Schizosaccharomyces pombe: one gene and its partner. The protein of the gene in region 1 interacts with the protein of each later gene in a biochemical or structural test. Each region holds a gene or a part of one and is shown in the gene's direction. Other genes may lie near its edges.

Region 1 (3,962 bases):
GTATGATGGCTCAACTCCAAAAATGCACTCAGCTTTGTGAACGCAGAACAACTAATATATACGATATCCTTATTTAGTTTTCGTAGTGAATACATATTAAGGGCGAGGCTCTTTTTCACCGACATATATTTAATTTAAAGAAATTTTTATTGTAGATACTAGTTTATGATTTTTGGAAGACTACAAGTAGTAAAATTAAAACTTACCTAACTATTTTAAAACTACATTTTCGTAGTCCATTTAGAAATTATGTATACCTTAATTAGCTACTACATAGTAAGATTGCTCAGTATTGATTTTGTTTACCAAGCTTTTCATCGTTCATTCTTTTTTTTAGCCGATTTCATGCATCATCTTCGAGAGTATCTAAATTAAATGTTTAAATCCACCCACAAATTATTTTTATTTGTAAGATATTAATCAATTGGACATTTGCAATAAAATTATCTATTTATGTGCTGATTTTACATTCGTTAAAACATATAATGTAGTTCATGGTCGTGTTATTAATCACTTTAGACAGTTTAGCGAGTTGGCGTCTTTATGAAATCCGCGTCGCCAGATATTAAGCCGTTCTTGGCATCATAATAATGGCTAAACTTTTTTATTAATTACTTTTATTGAAATTTTTTGAATTCAAATGCCAAGGTTCTTTAAAATTTAGAGATTAAGTAGTACATAAAGAAACGCGAACTCTCGATTCATCATGTGGTCAAAGTTATCGATTTCTTCAAAAATTAATCGTATTCGCGACCCTGAAAGCGATAATACGATTGAAGATACTCACGTTGCTCGTGTAATGAGAAAATACTATATGGACAAAATTGGGACATTACCTGAATGGCTTCGTCCTCCTGGATGGCAGCCTCCAGTTAACACAGGACCTACTTCCCCAGTTAGCATAAATGCAAGTAATGCGGCTCCTTCAAATTTAAAAGCTTCATATATTCCGGCCAATCCTAGGAGGCTATCGTCCTCCACTTCCTCTGCTTCGTCTCCCCCTTTACGACGATTACCTTCTGTTCAACATAGTACCTTTGACGATTTGTTTGAAGGTGTCGGAAGTCTTCAAAAATCACCTTCCACCACGAAACCTCTTTCCTCTACACCTTCCGGCTCATTGCTACGGTCAAAATTTGATCACACTAGAAAGAAGTTTTAGTTGACACAACGATACCTTTACTTTACTCTCATTGGTATCTGTTAATGGCGTATTAATGATCAAAACGACTTTTTGTTTCTTTGAAAATGCTGTTACTACGTATGTGTTATTCTCAACCTCGTTTGTTAATAACTAAGCCCATCTTACCCAGAAGTTCGACATTTGTCAGTACAGAGGCATAATTACTTATTTTACAACTTTGAGTTAGCTCACCTTTTCTGGTTTTTCCTTTAGTAATTATTTTTGGAATGACCTGACAATAAGGTGCACTATCCTAAGCAACTCGCCTTTAGTTTGAGAACTATCATTTAGTCTAATTAAATAACCATCACATGTTCTTTATGTTTCTAACCGGATTGTAGCTTTAAAAATTAAACTGTTCAAAAAGCGCTTGGTAGAATTAAAGCTAGTAGCTGAAATCAATTCAACATTATAAAAACTTATCGTTACATACAGCGCATCGTATAGGTTTCTTTAATTTCTAACTCGAACACTTAGGGACGAATTGTGAAAATTCGTTATTGTAATTTAATATGGTATGTAAATAAAAGCACCAATGGATTCGTTCTTGTGATTCTCGTTTATTTGCAAATTTCTGGTTATATTTAGCTCAACGTGACAACAAAATATGTTACGAATGCTTTGTAAGTAAAAATGATCTTCACGAATGTATTTTCTCATTGAACAACGTTTTAAGCAACCAGAAACCGCATCCAAATGCAGACTAGACTTACAAGACGAGAATTTCGATTATCCTAAAAATAAAATTTAATACGCTATAACGCAATTTAACCATTATAATATTAGATATATCGAAGTTTCATTTCCTTTCAACTTACTTGTTCGCAAGTATACGTATTATCTTAGATCATTTAAGCCATCCCAACCCTTACTCGCTAAGTGTTCCACTTTATCCAAATTTGAAGGTCAACAAGTTCTGAACATCAACTTTTAGCAAATTTAAAAAAAAGGTTTAATTGAGCTAAAACTTTTCATCACAGTTTCCTTGTTAATACTTGAAAACAAGATCCTGAAAGCAATTACAATGCTGCATTCGTTTATGAAGTAGAGATGCGAAATTCGTCAAAGGGACAGGACCCTAATTTTTCTTATGACTCTATTCTGTCTACTCCAACTCCATCAGCCAGAAGAACTATTGGGCCAAGGGCTCCTAAGTCCAAAACAACGTACCATAAACCTCCATCATCCATAGAATCAGTATCGACGTTAATCCAGCCTAATAAGTCCCAATCAGTTACTTCTCCGTATGTAAAGCAATTTACCTTTTCATCGAAAGAGTACAATTCTCATAATAAACATGCTTTGCAAAATTCCCAGCTTCCTTTACCTAAAACACCCGAGAAATCTACTGTCCATCGACCCAAAGCGAATAAAGTTGAAGTCACTGATCTACCATCTTCGTCTTCCGTTGAACATTTGCACACTTCTAAACATCTCAAGGGTCCTAGGTTGCCCAAAAACATTATTAAAAGTTCTGAGGATGTCCAAATTGCTCCAGTGACACCCCCTGTACATTCTCGCTCTTTTGATCCTTTGCCGAAACCTCCTGTTCCCTCAGTTCCAGTATCTAAGACAAAAAGGCGAACTAAGCATAAACTTGCTCCTGTTGTTGAAGTCCCTGAGATTACCAACGAGGTTTCCCCAAAATTCACTTCTACTAATGATGAACAAGTTTATCGACTACGTTCAATTCGAGCTGGGAGCCCTAATTCGGTATGCTCGTTTCAGTTTGAAATTCCGAGTACTCGACCACCTTCATTGGATCAGCTAATACATCTATTCAACGATTTTTTAAGACACCCTGTATTTGATTTTGACGAAAACGCCATTGAAATGCTTCAAAGTTGTACTCCAGATGAAAAGTGGTGTTTTATTCGTTCTAACTTCGCCGGGTTTGATGATCCTTCTTTCCAAATTCCAGAATTAGCTGCCGTCCATAGACCTGTTTCCTGGTTCGTAATCCAACTATGGAATAAAACAATTAGTAATTTACAACTTATCACACTTTCTTCTTTATTATCAACTCAATCCGATCGATGGATATCTCTTTTTCTTGAACTGCAGGGACTTCGAGCTTTGCATAATCTACTTACATATTTTAATTCGTCTGCCGTAGTGCAGCCTCAGCAAGCTGAAGTTCCTCGTTGCATGCTTACTCTTTTGAAGAAAAAACCTACTCTGGTTACTTCCAATTCTTATATATTTCAAGCAATAACAGTGACCCTTATATCCCCAAATTTGCTTCCGAGGAAAGTAGCCGCAGATTTATTGACATGGGTTCTGTCTTTAAAGGAACCTCTTGTGGTCTCCATATTGGAAACTGGATTTAAAGAAATAAATGCCGAATATGAAAAGGAGGTTCCGCTATTCTTTGGATGGATAAAATCTTTCAAAGACATAATCTTGGAAAAAGAATTAGCACGAACCCCTCCATCTTCTCCTGCTCGAAATTCTGCTTCCAGCTCACCTTCAAACATAGCGTTTCTTGAGTATTGTACTTCCACTATGGAATTTATCAATCAGCTAATTGTTGCTTGCGAAGAATTGGAGCAAGGATTTGACCTTGATATATTGGATTCCCTTCGTGAATCAGGTATACACGAAGTTATACAACTTCTACGTAACTTTCCTGACCAACAACTTGAGAAACAACTAAACATATATGAATCAGAAGAAGAGAGGAGGACTATAAGTCAGACCACGCATGAAGATGTCGATTCCTTTATGTCAAATGAATCCTCAATTTTAAGTAGCTTCAATGAATTTGCATCAAATGAAG
Region 2 (3,600 bases), 1.1 Mb from region 1:
TCCTAACGAAGACAAATTTATGTTCTTTGAAATTGGAAAAAAAGTCTGAACACCATTGAAACGCTAATGACTCTTGAACAGGATTCCATGCCAAAGGGAGCTGCAGCGTACCCAAAAGCAAAAGCTCGGCAGAAACTTTCTCATCCAAAAAATTCAAGAACAGTGAAGTTTCGTAGGTGACTACCTCAGATAACAGGCGTAAAAGGATTTGGACAAGTTCAATGCAATTTAAATTACTTTTTTCATATATTTTCGCATAATTAACAAGCTCTTCGCTATAATCCTTTAAGCTATCAACAGAAACTACAGGATTGACATTGAACTCTCTTATATCAAACATCGATGTTGGGGATAGGATAATATGAGAAATGATGGAAAGTTGCGGTAAAGGATTTCTCCAAAGAACCCAGAGAAAGTCCAACGTAAAATTAGTTTGCCTTAACTTGTAAGCATTTGTAAAGATTGTGAAGAACAGTACAAGACTAGGTGTACCCGTTATCATAAATTTAGGATTATCGAACATAGAAAGCATAGCTTCCCAATTTAGGTTTTCAAAAGAGGAAACGATAGCTTTACCCATCAAAACAGTGTCCCAAGCACCATAATCATGTATAGCTACAAGTGAATTTATAAGATAAGCAACATCAGTCTCAGTAGCCGTTCCCGGGGGATATTTTTTAAGAATTGCTTCTTTCATAGACTTAAGTGTAGCTTTGGAAGCTTTCATCGGACCAAACAAAGCTGTAAGAGGGCGTGAATTCGCCAACTTTTTCTCAATTATAGCATCAAACTTTGGAACTTTAATCAAGGGTATTCTGTCATAGTCGGTGGTAAACAAACCTTCCCTGAGCAAATCCAAATCGTTTTTATCAATACTTTGTTGCTGAGTAGGATCGGATAGTTGGTTTAAAAGAGATTGGAATGTGTTTTTAAGCAAAGCAGAAGCTTTCTTTGCTAAAGTAGGTTTAACAGAAGTGGTAAGTCCAATTAAAAGGTTAGTCCTTTCTAACGGGGAGAATTGGAAATGGTCTAAAAATGCCTCTATATCGAAATCTTCAAATACTTCAGAATCAGAACCTGAAATAGCATCACTAAAACGTTTCGCCATGACCCAAGACTTCGTGAGAGATTTTAATTCATCTAGTAGTAATTTATAAGTAGCTAGTCCATCAGAAGATTTACCGGTACCAAAAATACGGTATGAATTTCCTTGAATTAGACGGCGAAGAAAATGGTGGTATACTCTGGGTGCATTTTTGTTGATAAGTTGACGAATCTGTTCAAGTTTCGTATCATATTGGTCTTCCCGTAAGGTCGACAATAAGAAAAGGATTTGTGCTTTAACAATACTTTCAATTTTTGAATCGTTTGGTGGAGGGGTCTTAGAATCTAGTGATATAGGATGCCCAGATTCAGAAGTTGAACTAGATTTCTCTCGTGTCTCCGGCGTTTGTTGTTCTTGGCTCTTCATATTTTTAACGCTTTTCTATTACCATGCCTTTGTGAGGCTATTATTATACTCCTATGCTATTTTCAGCTGATATATTCTTTGAATATTTACAGATGAGATGCAGCAGTATCTGCTAGCAAGTTTGAATGAAAATAGGTGCAGTGGTGTTTTGCAAAAGATATGTCGGTCCTCCTCACTGCCAGGCAGTCTAAGAAAGGATCGAACATTAAATTTAACGAGACTGTATCTTTCGTAAACTTTTTTAACAAAATTTAAGGATAGAGTTAATTTGCAGTTGCTTATTGTGCACTCAGATAGGCAACGGTTGCTAGGGACGGTTGTCACCGCAGTAGTCGCAGTAAACAAACATGTTTACTCTTTTCCTGAAATCGACTACCAGGAATTTACCAACAACAAATCACAAATTTTGCTGCATTTTGTTCTTTCAATAACAAAATGGAGGTTAATGGAGTCTCTCAATCTGAAGCGGCTCCGTACGTTACCAAATCTTCTGTTAAGTTCCGCGATAATTTCTGGGTATGTGTAAATTTGCTGTATTTAGTAAAGCAAAGTTATGTTAACAAAATCGTTGCAGGGATCTGAAGATGCGGGTATGGATGCTCTTATGTCCCGAACAAAATCTTCTCTTTCCGTATTAGAATCAATTGATGAATTTTACGCAAAGCGGTAAGTATGGTTGCCTCGTTTGGAAGTTGCAGCTCTACCTTAAGCGCTACGATGATTCAAGAAATATGTTTTTGGTCGTTTCATTGTCATTTAAGATGTTTTACAGATAATCGTGGATTCTTAAGATAGCTTGTGTAATGAACCGAAGGGTTCGGTATGATTATTGATTAAAGTCTGACTAACTAAATTAGTGCTTCTATTGAGCGTGAGTACGCATCTAAACTGCAAGAGTTAGCTGCCAGCTCAGCAGACATCCCAGAAGTTGGATCAACTTTAAATAATATTTTATCTATGAGAACTGAAACAGGGAGTATGGCCAAAGCGCATGAAGAAGTCTCACAACAGATAAATACCGAATTGCGAAATAAAATTCGCGAGTACATTGATCAGACGGAGCAACAGAAAGTTGTTGCAGCCAATGCCATTGAGGAATTATATCAGAAAAAAACGGCTCTCGAAATAGACTTATCCGAGAAGAAGGATGCCTACGAGTACAGTTGTAACAAGCTGAATAGCTACATGAGACAGACAAAAAAGATGACTGGTCGTGAATTAGACAAATACAATTTAAAAATCCGTCAAGCAGCGCTAGCAGTAAAAAAAATGGATGCGGAATACAGAGAAACAAACGAATTACTTCTTACAGTTACTCGGGAATGGATTGATCGTTGGACAGAGGTCTGTGATGCTTTTCAACATATTGAGGAATATCGTTTAGAGTTTCTCAAAACAAACATGTGGGCCTATGCAAATATAATATCTACTGCTTGTGTAAAAGATGATGAATCTTGTGAAAAGATTCGACTCACACTCGAAAACACTAACATTGATGAAGATATTACTCAAATGATTCAAAACGAAGGTACCGGAACTACAATTCCCCCTTTACCCGAGTTTAATGACTATTTCAAAGAAAACGGATTAAATTATGACATCGACCAGCTCATTTCTAAAGCTCCTTCTTATCCATACTCCTCTTCGCGTCCCTCAGCTTCTGCATCTTTGGCAAGTTCGCCAACACGTAGCGCTTTTCGCCCCAAAACTAGTGAAACAGTTTCATCGGAAGTTGTATCATCACCACCTACTTCACCATTGCATTCACCAGTTAAGCCAGTGTCTAATGAACAAGTTGAACAAGTTACAGAGGTTGAACTTTCTATTCCCGTTCCTTCTATACAAGAAGCTGAATCCCAGAAACCAGTACTTACAGGGAGCTCAATGCGTCGACCTTCTGTAACATCACCAACTTTTGAAGTAGCTGCTCGTCCTTTGACTTCAATGGATGTTAGATCCTCTCATAATGCCGAGACTGAGGTACAGGCTATACCCGCTGCAACAGATATATCACCCGAAGTTAAGGAAGGTAAAAATAGTGAGAATGCTATCACGAAAGATAATGATGATATTATTTTGAGTAGTCAACTTCAACCTACTGCTACCGGAAGTCGGTCATCTAGGTTGTC

The links. The genes of interacting proteins can lie anywhere in the genome.
Region 2: the proteins of cdc12 (region 1) and cdc15 form a complex in vitro, tested with the Schizosaccharomyces pombe proteins (4 studies listed by BioGRID, with this or other methods).

Annotation. Positions count from the first base shown.
Region 1 is NC_003424.3:281,243-285,204, forward strand, and holds the start of cdc12 (cytokinetic formin Cdc12), read left to right. Parts: upstream 1-2,101; 5' UTR 2,102-2,233; coding exon 2,234-3,962. Other genes in the region: exocytic docking protein Mso1, read left to right, coding at 707-1,162. UniProt on the Schizosaccharomyces pombe protein: Plays a role in the cell cycle. Involved in cytokinesis. Component of the cell division ring. In the absence of profilin, caps the barbed end of actin filaments, thus preventing subunit addition and dissociation.
Region 2 is NC_003424.3:1,401,193-1,404,792, reverse strand, and holds the start of cdc15 (F-BAR domain protein Cdc15), read left to right. Parts: upstream 1-1,856; 5' UTR 1,857-1,906; coding exon 1,907-1,987; intron 1,988-2,045; coding exon 2,046-2,137; intron 2,138-2,313; exon of another isoform or gene 2,314-2,328; coding exon 2,329-3,600. Other genes in the region: CCR4-Not complex subunit Not1, read right to left, coding at 1-1,471. UniProt on the Schizosaccharomyces pombe protein: After the onset of mitosis, forms a ring-like structure which colocalizes with the medial actin ring. Appears to mediate cytoskeletal rearrangements required for cytokinesis. Essential for viability.